2 linked regions of the Tamandua tetradactyla genome follow. The protein of the gene in region 1 purifies or fractionates together with the protein of each later gene. This does not show direct contact. Links are inferred from orthologs where the notes say so. Each region holds a gene or a part of one and is shown in the gene's direction. Other genes may lie near its edges.

Region 1 (10,589 bases):
TACATTTTCAGGTACTTCCCTCCAGCCTCTCCATTACACCTTGACTAACAAGGTGATATCTATTTAATGTGTAAGAATAACCTCCAAGATAACCTCTCGACTCTGGAATCTCTCAGCCATTGACTCTTTATTTTGTCTCATTTCTCTCTTCCCCTTTTTGATCAAGAAGTTTTTCTCAATCCCTTGGTGCCGAGTCCCAGCTCATTGTAGGATTTATGTCCCATGTTGCCATGAAGGTCCACACCTCTAGGAGTCATGTCCCACGTAGACAGGGGGAGGGTAGTGAGTTAGCTTGTTGTGTTGGCTGTAGAGATATGACACATATGAACAACAAAAGAGGTTCTTTTGGGGGTGACTCTTAGGCCTAATTTTAAGTAGGCTTGACCTATCCTTTGTGGGATTAATTTTCATATAAACAAACCCCAAGATTGGGGGCTCAGCCTATGGCTTTGGTTGTGCCCACTGCCTGTGAGAATATCCAGAATTCTCCACTTGGGGAAGTTGAAATTTCCCCCTTTCTCACCATTCCCCGAAGGGGACTTTGCAAATACTTTTTTACTCACTGTTCAAATCACTCTGGGATTTATTGTGGCATCACTCTGGACAAACCTACAAAATCTTATGCCCTACTCAAGGTTCCATGTACTTAGGGTGTTCAATTACGCTGTCCACATAAATTTTATTAGGGACTTCACTAGTCAAATATAAATTTTGTACCAAATAAACGTTTTTGTTTTAGTTTCATAAATAAGTTAAATTTTAAAATATTAATTACCATCTATTTTCTACACCCTGCAGCAATGACATTCCTTCGTTCTTATGGGAGGGGAGTTTTAATGCTTTGTTTACCATAACACTGTATGTCCCACCCCCCTCCCCGGGGCGGGGTGGGGGGAAGGTTCTGATGACTTTGCTCCCAGATCAAGTAGGTGACTTTGGTCCCAGGTCATGGAGGCGGCTAATGGGTGTGCAGGGGTGGATCTGGGTCCCCACATCTTCTGTACATCTTCTGTATGGTTAATGCTTTTTGTATCCTATTTGTCTAAGAAGTCTTTCCCCTACCCTGAGTTTATGAAATTATTTGCCTATATTGTCTTCAAGTTTTATAGTTTTGCCTTTTATATTTAGATAAAATCAGCTCTTCCTAAAATAGATTTTGTGTACAGTATGAATCAAGTTTTTGTTCCCACTGGGATGTCCATTACTGCTAAGATTATCTTTACCTTACTGCTCTGCAGTGATATTTCTGTTGTAAATCAAGTGTCCACATGTTTCTGGATTCTCTATCTTATCCCATTCCACTCACCTTCAGTCCTTTCAGCAACCAAATATCTCTGTGAAGAAAGCTTTACTGATTATGATTAAGTAATACCACCTGGGTTCAGATCTTACTCTGCTACCTATTAATCCTGTGACCTTGGGGTTGAATTATCTAACTTCTCTTGGCTACCGTTTTCTTGCTTAGTTCATAGTGGTAATTTAATATAAGGATTAAAAGGTTTAATGTAAGTAAAGTGCTTAGAGCAGTGTCTGCACATCTTAAACATTCAATACTATGGCTCACAATCTTTAATCTGCAATTTAGAAACGCATTTGAATTGACATGGCATTGTTTATATATCAATCTTATTTATATATCGAACTTAGTATCAATAATTACACATTTTTGGAGTAAAAATGACAATGGGTTTGATTGCAGGGTGCTATCTGGGCCACACTGGGATGTTACTTAATAGACAGCATCTGAATTTTACTTTCTAAAAATGAAAAATTCTAAATTCTGAAACACCTTTAGCCCCAGGGGTTCACTAAGGGATTGTGGGCCTGTATTTGCTCATTGCTTTGTAACCTTGGGCAACAGTCTCATGGCCTCTGGGTAGGCTGCAATTTCTACATTATTGATACCACTTAGTTCAATCAACTCCACATTATAGCAAGGACAACAGTTGGCACAAAACACTGCACTAAAGTGAGTTGTAAAAAAATGAAACGATGCATGTGAAAGTACTTTACAAGCATGATGTAAACATATAGGCTCTCTGGGTACTAAATGGTAGGAGCATTTCATATCTGAGATGGAAAAAAGATAGGAAAGTATCCTTCAGCAAACTATTCTCCCCTAAAAGGAAAGATTGGAGACCCACATGTGCACACACGTGCTTTGTACAAAAAGTAGTACCAAAAACTATAATCAAGAATCAAACAGATACCATCCCTGATCTATCCTGAGATCAATATACCTTTAAAAATAGAAAAAGAAAAGCCACCTGGACCAAATCCGTATTTTGTCTTTCCAATTGGAACATAAAAGGGAAACCGTCTTTTTTTCTTTACAAGCTTTTGAAATTGAAGTCTCTCTACATTAGTTCCTTGTTGGACTGACATAAAGGCGATGTGAATGAGATTAGATCCGTGCCCTACATCAAAGTCCTCATTCACTGTGGGACGCTTGTCAGGATAAATGTCCAATTAAGTCCTGCGCCCCATGAGCCCCATGTCATGTCTGTGCCCGGGGCTGGAGACAAAGCTGAGCTTGACAAACACATGCTGGTGGATTCCTGTCACCATGCCATCTGTAGACTCTGCTTTAGAATTCACTCAGTGGAAAGGTCTCCCAAGGTTGGCTTTTAAGTCCAGCACCCACTGGCAAATCATCATCCTTCTGCTATGAGCAGCCAAGACCGACTTGATTCCAGTGCCCACTCGCCAAGCTCATACGTCCACGGGCCCTTGGGTCTGGACCCAGGTTCCAGAGAGTGTTGTGTAGAACACATACTCTCAAGGTTCCTGATGAGTCTTATCAAATCCTTCCACCCAGTTTCTCCCAACCCGTGCTCCCCATTAAGCTACATGCCTGCTACTGCTCTGTGCACTTCAGGTATTTTAGCCCATTTTCCTCTAGCCTATAGAAACCATTATTCCCATTTTGCACACCAGCAAACAGAGGCAGGGAATGCAAGGGGGCAGGACAGGAATTGATTCAGACACGTTGACAAGAGTCAGTGCGCTTTCACCATTGACCTCTCAGCTTGAGAAAGAGCCAGGCTCTGCAGGTTCCTAGAAACAGCTCTCCTAATTTCTTCTCCCTACACAGGGACTCCTAACTTTGCAACGAAATTCAACCGAGTTCCAGTGGGGATTTCCACCTAGTAGCTGTGAACAGCAGGGCAACTAGGAAACTCTCTAGGCCCCACTGACTCCAGTATAAAAACAGTATGGAATGGTGAGGGAAGGCCCAGAGCTTTTGGAGTTGGACCCAGGTCTGATTCCAGCTCAGCTAAATCCTGTTATCCTGTGTCATGCTCCCAACCCTCCCTAACCTCAGCTGCAAAAGGGAACTAATCTAAGCCCCAGGGGAAGCTTTTGTGTGTGTACGGGTGACTTCCCCAGCACACAACTGGATGGCTGTTGCTAATGTGGAGAAGGGCTTGGATGGAGAAAGGTTATGTGTGGAGACTCAGGACACACACACAGGGCGGTGAAATAAGAGCCCTAGGCCCGCGGAGGGAGTTCTCAGGGCGAGCCGACTCTCCCCTTGCTCAGCCCCGCCAGACCAGGCCTTTCCCAGTAGTACGGGTCTCTTAACTCCAGGCTCCAAGTCAGGCTCCCAGGGCAGAAGACTCCTCCAAACAGTGATAAGACCTAACAAATGCTCGCCTTGTTTCCAGGTGTATTCTCTCTGTATCTCAATATCTCAACCTCCCCGGACTCTTCAGCCTCCGAAGAACTAGTTCTTAGAGGAAGGAGAAGGCAGAGGATAGCGCGTCCAACTAGCGCCCCGTGTCTGCTGGGGCTGGGTGGCGGCGAGGGCGCGCGCCAGCAGGGGGCCAGGGCGCGCGGGGCGCCGACGGGGCGCGCAGGGACGTTCGCTGCCGTTCGGCGGCGGCGGGGGACCGTGCGCGGCTTCTCTCCGCGGTCCCGGCCGCCTGCCCGGCCTCAGCGCAGCGGGCGAGGTCCCGATGGGCTTGTCACGCCGGCAGGTAGGCAGTTCCCCGGCGGCGGCGGGCCGTCCTGGAATGTGCGAGGGACGTGATGACAGCAGCTGCCGGCCCCTTTGCGCAACACCTTGGCTATATATACCCGGGGCGCCGCGCTCTACCTGGGTGCCTCCTTCAGCCCTTTACCTGCGTAGGGAGCGCTGGTGAGTACCGCCGCCGCCGGGGCAAGGGGGCCTCCTTCTCTTTAAACTGCCTTAAGTGACTCAAATTCTTTTAGATAGCTCCTTCGATGAAGACCTCAAGGAACCTGACTTTGAACAGCAGAAGAGAAAATAAAAAACCTTTCCAAGTTTTTCAAATTTTCTTTTTCTTCTTCATGTTACTGCTGTTGCTGAGATTATTACTTCTGTTACTGCACTATTACTGCAAGTACTGCTTGTAGTAATAGTGCTAGTAATCAGCCACGCTTGGGGATTCTAGAATTACAGATGGTTTGAGAATCATGGTTTGGGGAAGGAGGATGGTGTAATGGAATTGGGAAGAGGGGGAGCTTTCTTTTTGGCTGGGTCATAAAGGCAGATAGATCCCAGGGTCCCAGCAAGCCCCCCAGCCTAAGCTTTCCTGTCTTTACAAGAAGAGGAAAGGGGCCATCTTTCCAGGGTCGACCCCACCACCCCAGGATGGCTTCCAGAGCCATGATGCTTGTTTGCGGTTATTTACCTGAGCTCACTGTGAGGGACAGTCTGGCTTTTTGCTATTCTCATGTGCCATGGGTATGGCTTTCCGCTATCTTGGGAGAAAAAGAGTGGCCAAGGGAAATGGGAAGCGGCTTGCAGGGAAAGGTGCCCGGTGTGGTCGGATTGGGTGGGTGGGTGCCTACTCAGGCCGGAGATAGGGAGAAAGGTTTATATGGAATTAACTCATCCTACAGACTACCAGGACAGATCCCTGTCAGGAATAGCTGGCGCTGAGTTGAGAGTTTGAAGCTCTTGTTTTCCTGGGTAAAGGGGGGCAGCTTTCCTCCAGCTTGTTAAGCTTGTGGCGGCAGCCTGTGGAGTGCCTTTCTCCGAAGCCCCCTCCCTTCCTGTACAGACTCACCAAGAGTTTTCTGTGTCCGCAGGGCTTGCTCCAGGCCTCCTTTTTCTTCTCTTTTCTGCTTTTCCTTTTCCCTGTGACACACTCTTGAACCTGTTCTGTGAGGGGTGTACCTGGAAGAGTTCTGCCTACTAGTAGCAGTCATTGTTTCCTGGTGCCAGCCAACCAGCTGATAATGATCTTGTCTCTATTTTTGTAACTTTGGGAACTGGCAGCAAGACTGGCATGCTTTGTAAAAAGGTTTGGATGCTAAACAAATTGTCCCCCCACGCCCACCCTGAAAATCACTCAACTATCTCATTGAAACAGTTCCCCCTTGATATGAGAACAGGGTCTAGGTGATTGCAGAAGTGATAAGAAATGCAAAAAGAGGGTTGCAAAAAAATTATAAGATGTTTTGAATGTTCACATTTACAAATTAACCCTTTAGCCCCATAATATGATAACAAATAACTGATAGTTGCAGGCTAAGGCAGGGTTGATTATTTAAATGTAAATGCTATGAGCGTTCGGCAAAGGGGCCCAAGTTCAAGGTGATATGATAAATGTCTTTTTAAATATCCTATTAGTGCCTCTCATCAGAAGTCTAAACTAAGCCATTCTTCAGTGATGTCCAGGTCAATTGTTTCCTCGTGTGCTCTGCTTATAGCATCCCCGCTCCCATGATCCCTGTGTACATGGGGATTATTTTTCCTTGTGATAGTTAAAGGAAGCTGAAGAAAAGTAGCCATAACCCTCTTGGGAATTTTGAAGTCTTTCAAAGCACAGGAAAGCGTTTCTTGAGTTTACAAATGGCATGGCCCTTGGAGTCAGACCACCTGGGTTTGAACGACCTCTGAGGGCGTAGTAGCTGTGTGACTTGAAGCAATCAACGTTTCTTGTCTCATTTTCCTCCTGTAAAATGGGGACAATGTTGGTTCTCCCTCACAAAGTACTTAGGGGATTAAATCAGTTAATCTGCGTAAAGGGCTTAGATCAGTACCTGGCACAAAATAAGTGTGCAATTAACTTTTATTGGCTGGCCGCTATATGCCAGGCACTGTGTTGGGGACACAGTGTTCGACCTCCCTGCCCTTGTGGAGGCCAGCTCCTGGGTCTGGATCTCCCTGCAGGCCCACTGGCCCCCATACTGCCACCACCTCGCCCCTCTTCTCTCCCACCATGCCATTGCCAGCACAGGCTGCCCCAGGCCAGGTCCTGGTTGGAGAGGCTCAAACAATGTTGCTTGAGCAGCCAGCAGCTTAGGTACAGGAGCCAAGAACTTTCCTCTCTTTGGCCTGCCAGAGAGAATGAGTGCCGAGTTCCTCTCGGCATTGGGTACTCAGGTGGCTGTAGGAAGTTGGAGGTCAGCAGCACAGCCAGCTCGATTGTCGGGACCGTTGGTAGGAAGCAAGGGCACAGATGGATGAGTGATCCCTCTGAAACCTGGAGGCCTCATGAGAGCCACCAACCTCTTTCCTGGGCAGGCATTGAAGACACAGGTATTATTACCAAATTGCCAAGAAAATTGTGTGTGTCTTTCCTTAACTTTTCTCTGCTACTGGGCAGGCAGCAAGCTGGAGTGTGGCCTTGGGAAGGGCGAGGAAAGGGAATAGCAGGACAACAGCTGGGCTGGGGGTCTGGGAAGGGAGAAAGCCTTTGGAGAGTTCAAAGGCTCCAGGGACCCCTTGTCGGTATTCAGAGCCCCCTTCCTGGGAAAGGCAGGTCCAGTTCAGGCCTGTGTCTGCCACATCCCTGGAAAGGATGACCTCAGAATTGCGCTACATCCTCTGTCCGGCCCATTTGGTACTGCCTCCCCTGCTCAACAGCCCGTCATTATGGCATTCCTGGCTGACATTTCTAGTCATCTGAATGAGCAGGCAGGGCTGAGTCCTGCAGACACACCAGCCCAGCCTGCTTTCTCCTCAACACCCTAAACCCTCACTGAGCCTGAACTTGAAGCCCCTGAGCACTCTGGTACTTTGAAAGGGGTTAGGATTCCTCTTCTTTCTGTCTTAGCTCCAGCAATCCTGTGTTCAAATCCTGATTCCACCCCTAGTTAGGTGTGGGATTTGAATTGAGTTTCTTATGCTTTGGTTTCTTTACCTGTAAACTGGATAGAAGAACCCCTTCCTTGTTATGAGAATTAACGAGGTCACAAAAACTGTATAGGGCACTCCCCTGTCATAAAGCAAACATTAGCTCCTTTCTCTCAGGTGCTTTGTGTTCATGTGTTGCAAAGATATTTACCTAGGGACTGGCACTAAGGCAAAACTTCATAGCGTTCATGATGCAGTTCATTCATTTCACAAAGTTCTGATGTTTACTTTGTGCCAGGCACAGTGCTAAAGGCTTCACCTATGCACATTAATTAATCCTCCCAACAGTTCTGAGGGAGACCAGGTTGTCCCCATTTTTGAGATTATGAAACTGGCAGCTCAGAGAGGTTTAGCATTTCATCTCAGGGGCACACAGTGCATCTGCAGAGCTGGCCCTGGTCTACTCTCACTTAGTGCCATGTGCTAGCTCTAGGATATCAGCAAAAGTGGCAACCCCTGAGGCTGGGAGGATCCCCTGAATGGTGCCATGTCATGGGGCTGACCCTGGGGAGTTGGCTCCCAGGTCCTGCCCTACCCAGGCCTGTACAGAGAGCTGGGGCTTTCCTGGCCAGAAGGGCTAGTGAATGGAGCCTGTGCACCCATGCCAAGGGGCAGCTGCCAGTGTCTTCTCTCCTTCCTGCTTCTGAGTTTCCAGGTACCCTACCTTTCTCTTGCTTTCCACCTCCCAGGAGGAGCAACTCAAGCTTGGGGGTGGAGAGGGTGAGGAGGGGCAGACCACAGTTTCAAAGAGCCCTGGGCTGTTCAGTCGGTTGACTGTCTCGGCTACCTGTTGCATGAGGGCTGCTGCCGGGGCATGTGGTATTCTGTCTCTTCAAGGTCTTGCACTCGAGAAATAATGGTGGAGTCAATGAATGTATGAGAAAATCGACTGCTAAGTGAGGGGAAATAACTGTTTCATTGAGGAAGTGTTAGTCAAGAGGAAACAGGATTGTGAAAAATGATGGCACTTCGAAGAGGGAAATCAAGGCTTTTAGGAAGGAGGAGCACACAGTTGATAGAAATTTCCCTTGTTTTTCTAGTGATGCTGACCAATATTAAGTGAATAAGTGTTAGTGGATGAAGCCAGCACGGACCTCAGAGGAAGTATTCCTGACATTTTGGCATGTTGGGTCCTTTGCCAGTGCATCCTATTCATTTCTGAACAGTTTGATGCAAGGGGTATCTGAATTCTCTTAGCTCTAAGGCTTTTGCTCCTTATAAAACATTGGACCATAATAGCATCTGCTTTTGTATCCACTAGAGAGTTGCTTGTTCCTTGAAATTATTTTGATAGAAATCAGGAAGACAAGATTTAATTTAGGCAAATAATCCTTCTTAAGCTTTCCATACTGTACCGAGAAGAGTTTCCCAAGTGGGGCTGCTGCAATGTCCAGGTTGCACGTCCTCACGACAATTGCTCCATCCAACATATATTGGTCAACCCTACTTGCATCTGATGATTAGGGAAGCCACCTATCAGTAAGATTGAGCCTTGAGCTGTTTACACATCACAATGAACATGAAATCCAGTGCATTTCTTCAGTGAACCCCACGGGTTGATTCCTCCATTAAAAAAGTATCTACTACATACAGTGTACTAGACACTGTAAGAAAACACATAACAGATGTCACTGTAAGGGATATGAAAACCATCATACAGTTAATGAAGATTATAAGAAAAGAGCTGGTAAAAGATCACAGTATTTTTCAAATTTTCCCATCAAAGTGCTCCCAAGAGCAGAAGAGCCTGTCTATGGGCCTCTGGACATCTGTGGGTAGCTCAAAATGGCATATGGCAAGCACCAAAAAGTTTGTTCTGTTAACTTTTTTAATTCATATAAAGTTTGCACTCTATACTATAATATATTCATGCTATTTTTGAAGATAAATGGTAATCACATGAGGGTTATCTTGTGCCAGCATTCCGAGAACTTTCAAAACATAACACGTTTCTCCTCACCACAATCCTTTGCAGGTATTGTTATTATTCTTATTTTACATTTAGGGAAACTGAGGTACAGAGAGTCCAAGGAGCTAGCCCAGGGTCATGCAACAAATGGCAGGGCTTGGATTTGAATCTGGCATTTGGGGCCTACAGTCCAGTCTCTCAGATCTCTAGACCAGTGATTGGCAATATCTGCAGCCATTTTTGGTTGTCACAACCAGGAGGGGGGATTGTGCTCTTGGCCTTTAGTGAGGCAGAGACCATGTGTGTGGCTCAACATCCTACAATGCTCAGGACAACCACACCCTCCTCCACCCCAGCAAAGAATTATCTGGTCCCAAATGCCAAGGTTGAGAAGCCCTGCTCCAGATCAGCTTCCTCCACATAAATATCATATCCCAAACATACAGTTAAATATTTAACACTCCCTCTAAATAAAAATCAATGCTCCAGGAAGAGTTCTGTTTATGTCATAGCTTGATACCCCCTTCCCCCGCCTTCACCCTCTTTCCCCCAGCAGGGTCCCAGTGCCTCCTGGATGGAGGCACCCACCTCTTTGGCAGGTCAACCTGACCTGCGTAAAACTGTCACTCACCTACTGGAGGACTTTGAAAGAGTTGCTAATCTCTTTGGGCTCATTTGCATAACAATTGAATGAGATAATCAAATTCCATCAAGTCCCTCTTTGGTGCTCATCAAATGGGGAGCTCAATGAAAGATAACACCCAAGTATGTGAGTGCAGATGAGTCATCCATGTAGCACATACTGGGGACAGGGAGAAAGGCAAGACCAGAGAAAACCAGAGAATTCAGACCGATGAGTGAGGATTGGGCTGAGCACAAAAGGGTGGACAGAAAGAAGAGAGGAAGGCCTTTTATGGGGGGACTTTCTGAGCAAGAGCTGATGACAACTCTTAGGGGGAGTGCTCAGGGCCCCAGTTTTAGGCCAGTGTGACCTTCGGAGAGGAGTTATGTGGAGAGCAGTGAGTGGGTTATGCAGCTGGGGAGTCAGTTCATATCCACATGGATGCAGCTGTGTTAGGAAAATTCATCCCCAAAGAGACACTGGGGCCCAAACCTGTTAAACAGGCTGCTGTGTTGGGATGGTCTGGGCAGGAGGTGCTGAGGCCTAGGCTAGGGACATGGTGAGAGGAACGAGACAGCTAGACCCGTGAGATGTTCCCAGGTAGAAGCAGCAGGTCCTGGTGCCTGGATGGATTTGGGGGCAGTCTGAGTTGAAGCTTCTAGGAGAATGATGGCAGAAACCACAAGGTCAAGAGAGTTTCAGGTCAGGGAGCATCTGGGATGTGGAGGAAATGATGAGTTGGGTTTAGATTAGGTTGAATTTGAGTTATCTGCTGGTGCAAATGACCCATGAGCATTGGAGACAGGGGGCCTAGAGGTTGGAGTGCAGGCAAAGGGTTAGAGACCTTTTGTACAGATACCTGTGTGGTATTGGTGTATCTGCCTCCAGGCCCAGGTCTTGGGATCCTCCCTTCTCTCTCCACAATTCTAAGTACAGTAGGTGAGTCA
Region 2 (10,589 bases), on another chromosome or scaffold:
TTTGTGCCAATTTACCACTTTATATTTTGCACAACTGTTATCAGGAAATATACCTTTTTTTCTTCAATCGTATTCTGATCCTTATGTGAATTACAGTGTAGTTGTGTATTGAGAATTTAGTACTTCTGGGTTTTGCATTTACCCTTTTAGTTACTCTTACTGATAATCTTCATTTCCTCATAATACTCTAAGCCACTCTCTCTTGGCTTTTCCTTTCAGCCTGTGGAACTCCCTTTGGTTATTCTTGTAGTGAAAGTCCCTTTTTTACAAATTCTCTCAGTTTCTGTTTATCTGTAAGTACTTTAAATTTTCCCTCATTTTTGAAGGACAGTTTTGCCAGAAAAAGAATTTGGGGATGGTAGTTTTTCTCTTTCAGTACCATAAAATTTATCACTTCCTTCTTGCTTCCATGGTTTCTGATGAGAAATCAGTACTTCAACTTATTAAAGATCCCCCGTATGTGATGAATCACTTTTCTCTTGCTGCTTTCAGAATCCCCTCTTGATCTTTGGCATTTGACATTCTGAGTGGTGTGTGTCTCAGAGTAGGTCTATTAGGATTTATTTTATTTGGAGGATGTTTTGCTTCTTAAATATGTATATGTATGTCTTTCATATGAGTTGGGAAGTTTTTAGTCAATGTTTCCTGAAATATTCTTTCTGCCCCTTTTCCCTTTTCTTCTTTTGAAACACCCATGACATGTCTGTCTGTGTGCATCATGCTGCCACTCAAATCCCCGAGAAATGGCTCAATTTTTTTGTCTGTTATTATAATGGCATGATTTTGATTTTCCTATCTTCTAGTTCACTGATCTTTCTTCTGGTTGTTCAAATCAGCTGATGTATACCTCTACTATACTTTCAGCCTCTACTATTGTGCCTTTCATCCCATAATTTTTGTTATGTTTCGTTTTATTTTTTTGCATGGGCAGGCACTGGGTATCGAACCTGGGTCTCCAGCACAGCAGGCAAGAACTCTGCCACTGAGCCACCATCGCCCTCCCTGTTATGTTTGTTTTTGTACTTTCAGATTCTTCTTCATGTTCACACATTGTCTTCTTAATATCTTTATCTCTTTTTTGCATATTTTTCTTCATTTCCTTGAATAGATTTAGGAGATCTGTTTGAACATCTTTTATTAGTTGTTCCAACTTCTGAGTCTCCTCCAAAATTTTAATTCAGTCCCTTGACTGAGCCATATCTCCTATTTCTTAGTATGGATTGTAATTTTTTGCTGTTTTCGAGGCATCTAATTATCTTTATCAGTTAACTCTGAGGGTTTGTTTCTTCCTTTAGTCTAGGGTTTTATTTTTGATTGGTTTTGTGTTAAGGCTCTTTTTTGATGCTTGGTTTAACTTATTTTAAACCTTTAGAATAGCCTATGTTTACCTGTTCGGAGTTTCTCAGCTCTTCATCTGATTCGTTCCTTGGATATTCAGTGCAATTTTTGAGATTTCACTTTTTGTGCAATTGTTTTTCATCTTCAAAAGAGAGCTTCCTTTCCTCTATTCCTTTTCCAGGAATCTTGATCTTTTCTCTTTGCTTTTGTGCAAACTTTTTTCCCCAGGTCCTACAATTTGTTTAAATTCTCTCCCTCACTCAGGGTCCCATTTTCCTCATACTTTTCAGTTCTGGGATCTGTACGTTCTTACAACAGCTCAGTTTAAGCCACTACCTTCTCCCTGTTTGTCCTCTGTGAGACTTTCCTGCCTCTGGTTTCTTCTCTGTTAGGGTTTCCCACTCCAGGATGCCAAAGGTGGGTTACTTCAGAGAAGTCTGTTTTGCCTTTAGGTGGTTCAGCGAACTGAACTGCATTTCGTGAGGTCACAACAGCTCTTACCAGCTTTCTATGGTGGTCTCTCTCTCTTTTTTATTATGACACCCCACCCCATACACCTACCTGCCCAGGACCCTTTTGTATGCAGCCTTCCACCTGGGTCTCTGTGGACTTAGATCCCCGTGCCTGGGGTTCTAACCAACGGCTGTGAATGGGTCTACAGTCTCTGTCCGTGGTTGGAGGAAGCTGGGCCTCTGTGTGAATCCCAGGCCGTGCAGGACCAAGTGAGGGGGAGGGGAAATGAGAACCCACCGGTGGTCTGGGACAGAATTCTCCTACTTGAGATTTTTCTGTTTCTTTGATACAGCATTTGTGGAGTCATTCCCCAGTCTCCACTGTCCTTTGGAGCTCTAAGCAAGTGACTATTTCCTCTTATTTGCTAAATCTCTGGGGAGACTTTTTCAGGGGATGTCTTATGCTGCCACGTTGATGCCATTGATCTGTATAGTTCTTCACAGTCAACAACATGCATCAACGTTGGGGAACACCCAGAATTCACAGCATCCCAGGAGTGGTATAAGCCCCATGACAGAGACCTACAAGGGTACAATGACTTAGCTGAGATACTAGGACCAGATGACCAGGGACTTCAATCTCAAGTCAAGAGAGACACCAAGTCTAGCTCTTTCCATGATATCACAGAAACTGTCTTTTATTTTAATTAAGATACGAATTTAGATTTCACTTCAGAGACCAAACCTAGTCAACATTTTTAGGCATTAGTACCTATGAAGAATTTGTTCTTAAACTCCATTTGTTCTGAAAATTAGCCTCCTACTTTATAGCCTCACTTTACAGATCAGCTGTGACTTAGAGAAAAGTCCAGGATTGGGAATGAGGCAGACCTGTTCCAAGTCTGACTTAGGACTCACTGGCTGTGCCATCAGAGGCAAGTCTTTGAAATTTTCCAGTCCTCAGTTCCCTATGTGGCACTGGGCAAATATGATTAAACAATAAGTTGTTAAATAAAGGTACCTGGCCCAGACTAGGTGCCCAGGTTCTATCTCTACTACCATCATCCTAAGCCAAGCCACCTGTGCCATCTGGATCTTTGCAAGTTTTTCTTCCTTCATTCTGGACCACTCCCATCCTCCATCCTCCAGCCAGAAAGCAAAAGTGATTGTGTCACTACTATTGAAAGATCAAAAACCTATCACGTGATCTATAATACTGCTTTCCAAACTGCAGGTAATAAGCCATTGGTGGGTCAAAGAAGCAATTTTTTTTTGGCATGGGCAGGCACTGGAAATTGAACCTGGGTCTCCAGCACAGCAGATGAGAACTCTGCCAATGAGAAACAATTTTTTGGATTGCCATCAGTACTTAAAAAAGAGAGTGGAATAATGTAGACTAAAATAGAAATAACAGCTTGTAATATCAGCCATAGCATAAGTATTATTTCACAAAATTTGTTTTCTCATTGTGTGTTTTGTTAAAACATTTACAAACCCATTTCTTTTTTGTATGCTGTATGGCAAGGTCACATTTCATTCTTTTCCATGTGAGTATCCGTATTGCAGCACCACTTGTTGAATATTTTGTTTGTTTTCTTTGGGAAGTGCATGGGCCAGGAATGGAACCCGCGCGTCCCACATGGCAGGTGAGAATTTGACCACTGAACTACCCTTGGCTGTACCCTCTCTTGTAAAACATTTGAAATCTTGGTCTATACAACCCTGAATGATATGCCACCTGCCTCCTTCCTTAGACCCACCTCTCATACTCTCTTCCCAGTTTTCTGCTCTCTACCCACCCAAGCTGTCCCTAAGTTCCTCCAACATGACACATCCCCTTCTGCTGAGAGATCCCTTTGCACATGCTCCTCTTTGCCTAGTTAATGTCATCTTTCAAGCCTCAGCCCAGAAGTCACTTGTTCAGCAAACCTTCCCAGACTATATCATCTTGTCCCCTTATGGGTCCAGTTTTAAATTATTCCTTCAACAGCTTGGTTATTTAATGAAAAGCTTTCCCACTAGGCTGTATCTTCCCTCCTGCAGGGATCCTATTCTTGTTTACCACTGTAACCCAGGCCCTAACCCAGCCCAGCATGCAGGGCTCAGTTTATTGACTTACCAACTGATGGAATGAAGAAGGCATGACTCAACCAGCCTACCAAACCATATTGCTTGTTCTCCTTCCATTCTCGGTAGTGATTATGTTTGTAACGCGGTTGCTAGGTAAACCACAGTAGGCTGTATTGGGTACCTACACACAACTTTCTATAACAGGATTTCTTAACTTGGGCTGGGGCTTCTGACAAGCCCAAACTGCATCCAAATCATGAGTGAGTGGGTGGTTGTGCTTTTCCGTGGGGAGAGGGAGACTAATCCTCATTAGATTTCAGGGGGAGTCTCTGTCCGCTCCAAAGAGTCACAGCTCCATGGCTATCTCGCCAAATTTTCCTTTGCATCCCTGAGGGTCCCTAGGGCGCGTGGGCTTAGGAGGCTTCTCGGTCCTCAACCCAGGTGGTCGTTCCTTCCCTGTCCTTCTGGCTAGGCCGACCTCGCTGCGACCTTCCACTCTTGGGATCAGGCGTCCCCGCGGACTGCAGTGAAGAGGTGGTGCAGTGGCAGGGGACCTGCGTCTCTAGGCCCAAGTGCAGTCCCGGGGACATTGCCCGCATCCCCAAGCCTGGTCCCGGGCCTCTGCAGCCATCTTCAGGGACCGAGGAAGGGAGGAAGGCGCGGTCTGGAGACGCTGACCCGCCCCCGCCGCCAGGGCCGCCCCGCTGGGGCTCCGCCTAGCACTCCCCGCGCCGCGTCCGCGCTCTTACATCCCCTCCCAGCCCGTCGCGGCGGACTTGCCCGCTCCCGCCCAGCCCGCAGAGCCCGCACTGCGGCCGCTCAGCCGCCCGGCCGGCCGCTCGGAGAGGCAGCCATGGGCACCGCGCGCTGGGCAGGCTGGCTGGCACTGGGCAGCCTGCTGGCCCTGGCCCGGCAGCTAGCAGGCCGGGTCGTGGGCGAGGAGGAAGCCGGCTTCGGCGAATGTAACAAGTTCTTCTACGCCGCCACCCCGCCTGCGGGCCTGGAGGCCGAGTCCCACGTGAAGATCTGTCAGCGCTCTGAGGGCGCCGAGCGCTTCGCCACGCTCTACAGCACCCGCGACCGCATCCCGGTGTACTCGGCGTTCCGCGCGGCGCGGCCGGGGGCTGGCGGCGCCGAGCAGCGTTGGCTGGTGGAGCCGCAGGTAAGCGAGGGCGTGCCGCTGGGGGTTCCTTCCAGAAACACTTGGCAGCCACCCCGAGGGGCAGGGCTGGGAAAGGCAGCCCCCAAGTCTTTTTGGTGCCTGCGGTCGGGAAACCCGGGTTTCAGATCCACCCCGCAGCGTCCCCAGACTGGACGGCTTCCTCTCCCCCTGTCAAAGCCAGAGCAGAGTTTGGCTTTTTGCGAGGCTTTGCTTAAGTAGCAAGGGCGGGAGGTCCCAGTGGGAGGTGGTCCTCCCTACATTTTTGCGCAGCCATCTGCAGCGGCTCTTTCGTTTCCTGAATGGTGAAGAGCGTGAGACAAATCCAGGAGACGAATCCCTGCGCAGGGAGCCTCGGCTGGGCGCTTATAGGCCTTGGCGCAGGCTATTGCTACGACTTTTATGGGGGGGGGGGGGGGTGCGGTGCGGTGCATTTTCATCTCGAGTTTACAGTAGAAGAGATCAAGGTTCAGGGGGGTGAAGAGACTTGCGGCAGACCACCCAGCCAGAAGCTGGGGCAGATCTTTTGGCTACAAGTTCACCGCCCTTTCTACCAGGAAATAACTTCCGTTCTGCAGAATCTTTCCTCGAGTGAAAATCCTTCTCTTCTACACACGACCTCGAGTAAATGCTATTTTAAGTTTTCTTCTGAGTTAGGACTATAAAATAACAGATTTTTAAAGATGCAATGGAACTGTTATAATTAATTGGGAAACACTGACTATTTCCATTTGGTGGGAGGGACAAATCAGTTTTCCCTAATTCTCCCTATATATATTATCAGACCACTTGGAAATCATGACCCTATGGTCTGATGATGGTGACCTACAAGAGGCCCCCAGAGGCCCTGCTGAACCTGCCTCTCTGCCATACCTCTGCTCCTTGGTCCCCCTTTCTAGATCATCCAGCCAGGGTCCCCTTTGGTAGGTTTGGCTGCTCACTGGGCCACCCAGCCTTGCTCCTCCCTCCAAGACCGCCCTAGCTGGGGGAGAAGCCAACACCCCAGCCCTGCCCATTCCTGATGGCCACAGCTGCCCAGGACCACATTGGTGACCAGGAGACTGTCCTCCCTGTACTTTACTCAAAAAGACTTGGGTGGTAAGCCCATTCAGATGTTTCTAGCTCTGAGATCTTGACCAGGTCTCAAGCAATCTGTGCTTTTGCTACCTCCATTCTGCTTTCCTCACTGTTGATGTCAGGGATCTATGCCATCAGGCATGTGAAACAGCCTTTGTAAATTATACACATTTAAGTGGTATTCTAATCTAAAATTAGTTTGCTCTCTAACTGCACCCCTGGAGCTCTCACCGTATTCCCCAGGTTCTTATTATGCTTTGTGACTATGGGGTTGTGAAAAAAATAAATGACCTGATCCTTTCTCCTTAAGGAGCTCGTGGTCTCTTTGGGGAGACAGAACATACACAGGAGAACGACATGGGGCATGCTAAACAAATTTCACTTAAATTCAGAGCACGTTTAGTAATTGCCTATCATGTGTTAGGTATACTTGAGATTACCTCAGAGTGTAGCTGGAGAAAGTCAGGGCCTCCGGGCAGCCATTGGAGCTTTCTGGATGGAGCATTGACACAGCATCTGGTCAGCGAGGCTGCCTGGGTTTAAATCCTGGTTCCTCCATTTGAGATGGTTAACTTGGAGATAGTAGCAGCATCTACATCATAGGGCGTTGTCAACATTAAATACCTGATTATGTGTTAAATTCTCAAAGATGTGCTGTCACCCAAGTACTAGCTGCTATTATGATATAAGCAGGAAAAAACCTCTATAATTTAATAGTTGTTAACAAATTCCAATGAGATTTAATCCATCTTTTAGGTGAGAGGGGAAAGCCTTAAGGTCAAGATGACATTGGCGCTGTGCCTGGAGGGATGAGGCTAAATTCAGCAGGGAGAAAAGAAGGAAGAGGTCATTTCAAGTAGAAGGGACATCATGAGTAAGAAATGTATGGCAGTTTCAGGGATTCGTGTGTGGGGACTGGTTGGAGCAGCTAAACTAATACAAGTGAAAGATTACACTCTATTCAAGTGTATGGAATAAAGAGGAATAGTGGAAGGAAAGGGTCAGGTAGGAAGTTCTCGAGGGAGGCTTAGGGAGGCAGGAGCCATTTATGCAGGTACTGAAGGACTCATAGAAGCCTGATTTGCCAAAGGAGTAGATGCATCCAAGTCACATAGACAGTGGAGGTGTGGGGTCCCGGGTTAGGGTAATGAGAAATGGCGCTGGGGAGAAAAAAGAGTGAAGATGTACAGCAGTTCTGAAAATTCCAGGAGGCCAGAGTTCTCAGCCAGCAAGGTCAGAATGATCAAGAGTGGCTGAGCACAGCATGATGCTTCTGCCTGCAGGATGTGTTTGCTGCCCCCAAACTCAGGTCAAGTCAGTCAGGAATGAGAGGTCATTAGGAGGGGGGGAGGGAAGGAAAGAAGGGAGGTGTTGCTACCAGAGTCCAGAAGGCTTCAGCACCCACTGCAGCAAACCTATCTGCTCCTTGAGGCTGCCTCAGAGCCAAGATCCCCACTGCAGAGAGATACTCTGGGCTCACTGTGTACTTTTGGCTGCTTTGCAGCAGTTTGCAATGCTAGTTGCTTTGTGCCCACTTCACCTTTTTATGAGGTCAGCATCACCAAGAGGCCCGGCAGACAGGGGAGGAGGAGAGAGGAGACTTCAGGAGGCTATATGCAACCAGACCCGGCTGGACTGGCTCACACTCCCAACGCCCAGTTCAACTGCTTTCATGACTGTCCTGTAATTTCTCTTTGAAAAAAAAAAGCTCTTAAAGATCATAGAAAGTTAGTCACTCTCATGCTTAAAGCCTTTAAGGTGTTGGCTGCCCGACACCTACCAGACAAAGTTCAGACTATACAATGTAGTTAGCAAGGCCCTCTATGATCTGGGTCCTGTCTCCAGCTCCAGTCTTGTTTCTCACTCCTCACTGTCACATTTATGTTCTAGCTGCCTTGGGAACCTCTCATAAACTATGCTGCTTGTTGTGTCTGTTTCTTTGTTCTTGCTGATTCCCTTTGCTTCAAATGCTCCTTCTATACTGCCTCTGTGTTTTCTTTCCCGTGCTCCATCCTTTAAGGCTCTGCTAAGACAACACCTCCAGAAAGAATTTCCTACCAGGCTTATGTCCACCTCTTGTTTTAAGTTCTGTGCCCCTATGGTTTCACTCTTCTGTGCCCCTATAGTTTCTCTATCTCTGTGCTTACCCCACTGTTTCATAATTACCTGCTTATGTATGTGTCCTCCCACCTTGAGCCCTTGCGGTTGACGAATACGTCTCATTCATTCTTGTGTTCCTGGCGTCTTGCACATGGAAAGTACATGTTGGATGCAGTAATTTGATTGTAGGAGGATAAGTCAGGTAGCAGGGGGTGAGATGTTCTGCTTGAGCTTTCTCTGTGGGGAGCTTCCAGCTTTAGAAACTTCCCCCATAGCTGGCCATCAGCCATGGATACAAACATGTTCCATAAGCAGAACTGGAACCTTCTGTAAGTTCACCCCTTAATACCTTTATTAAGATATTGCCTTAATAGGTGCTAGGCATACACAAAGCCAAATGATTTGCATCTCCACTGCATAATGGCTCTCCAGTGTTGTATGCCAGATTCCACGCCTGCCCACGTTGGAGGAATTTAAATAGGACCTTTTGAGGGACCAAATGGGTAATTTAAAAGAGGGAGAGAAAACAGAGGGCTGTGTGGGTTTTATGTGGGATGTATGTGGTCACCTTTAAAGTGAAAATGGGGAGAAGGCAAGGAAGAGATGAGAAAACGATTCCCCATCTAATGTGATGGAGGAGGTTTGGAAGATTCTAGTCAAGACTCTGGAGTCCTGAGAACCAGGCTCTGATTTAGTGCAGGGAGTATCATACCTTTCAGTATCTCAACTCATTTCCATTTAATGTAAGAATTATTGGATGAGGGACCCATGATGGCCTTCCAAAGTGAATTGTCAATTCATGTGAGACGTTAACATATAAGAACCTCTCATTTTATAAATATGAACACTGGAAGGAATGGCCTTATAGGCAGTTAAGAGCGTACATTTACTTAATTTTACCAAACTAAATATCACTCTTTTCATTTTAGAGATATGGCTCCAAGAGATTAATTGATGTGCCTAAGGTCACAGTTTAAACTTGAACTCATGACTAATTGCTCCTAGTCCAGTGCTCTTTCATACAGCATGGAGATTCTTTGACCTCACAGGGGAGTCCACTACATTAATGGTTTTAGGACTTTAGTTCTCTTATTTTATATGGAATTTCTACTCTGATTTCTGTTTCTTGACAATTGTAGGATAAGTAGTAGCGCATATTTGGCCGTGCAAATATAGCTCAGGGTGTCAGTAGCTCCCGTGTGAAGGGGATTTTCTATTTGAGAGCAAAAGCATTTTCCTAGAGGGCCCAATGAGGTCATAATTCACATCTTAGCAAGTGACACATGAACAGTTGTCACAAGTTAGACTTTTAAGTCCTTGATCTTTAATTTCCATCAGTAGCTTACATATCCTGAGACAATCAGAAACATTGTTTTGTTCATTCTAATATCTTTCATTGTGTCAGAGAATAGATATATGAACATATCATACACTTCTATCTCTATGTAAGGGATGCACCAAACAGGACTCTTATCTCCTAGTTAAGAGGCTTGGGTTTAGAGCCCTGTTCTTCATTTGCCGACTGTGTGACCTTACTTCTTCTAGCCTTATTTTTCTGATCTGTTTATTAGAGGTAATAATAATGTTTACTTCATAGGGTGGTTGTGTCAAATAAACAAGATAAATGCGTGCAAGCATGTAGCACAGTGTCTGAAACCTGGAAAACTCTTGATAATTATTAATGTGATATCCTTTATTAAGATACTACCTTAATAGGTGCTAGGCATACACAAATGCACATACACACTTGAATGTAGGATTAGAGAGCTGATCCTACAATTCTATAAATCTCTCCTACAATGTAAGCTATGGAGGTCAGGCCCCAGATTTTGACATCCATTGGTATATCTTTTCAAGTGCTTGGCAGCTGTCCCACATTCATCCAGTAGGTGCTCAAAAAGTATACGGTGAGAGAATGAATGAATGGATAGATGGATAGAGTTAAGTAATTAACAAACAGGTGCCAAATATACCTCCACCCTATTTCTCCTGAGCAACCAGGAGGTGTGTTGTCATAAAACAGAGAACAATAACATTCCAGTCTATTATCCTGAGCCTGGGTAAGGCTGGAGAGTGCTTGATCTCTAGTTCCAAAGTAAATCATTCACGACTTCTTCCTCACTGGGGTGCAGACAGCACCGAGAGGGGCCATCCATGCTGTCCTTCTCTACCCTTTTCTCCTTTTCTGGCTGTTTCCTCATCTTTGAATTCAGTATTTTCATTTGATTTGCAGGTTATTCTTTTGATAAAGTACTCTCCTTATATTAGCAGAAAATTTAGAGACATTTTTTCCTGAAACAGTCCAGTGGTGAGTGCTCTCTACCCTATTCTTTTAGTTCAGGCCCAAATTTGGAAAATCCAGGAAAGGAACTATTATTTATTGATCCCTTATT

Evidence for each region.
Region 2: the proteins of SLC34A2 (region 1) and ENDOD1 purify together in Homo sapiens (co-immunoprecipitation; 3 studies listed by BioGRID and IntAct, counting the BioPlex papers as one, with this or other methods). This does not show direct contact. The link is inferred for Tamandua tetradactyla from reciprocal best matches to the Homo sapiens genes SLC34A2 and ENDOD1.

Annotation. Positions count from the first base shown.
Region 1 is NC_135345.1:25,878,643-25,889,231, forward strand, and holds the start of SLC34A2 (sodium-dependent phosphate transport protein 2B), read left to right. Parts: upstream 1-3,909; 5' UTR 3,910-4,141; intron 4,142-10,589. UniProt on the Homo sapiens protein: Involved in actively transporting phosphate into cells via Na(+) cotransport.
Region 2 is NC_135334.1:47,905,873-47,916,461, reverse strand, and holds the start of ENDOD1 (endonuclease domain-containing 1 protein), read left to right. Parts: upstream 1-4,633; 5' UTR 4,634-4,713; coding exon 4,714-5,022; intron 5,023-6,536; exon of another isoform or gene 6,537-6,688; intron 6,689-7,474; exon of another isoform or gene 7,475-7,624; intron 7,625-10,589. UniProt on the Homo sapiens protein: May act as a DNase and a RNase. Plays a role in the modulation of innate immune signaling through the cGAS-STING pathway by interacting with RNF26.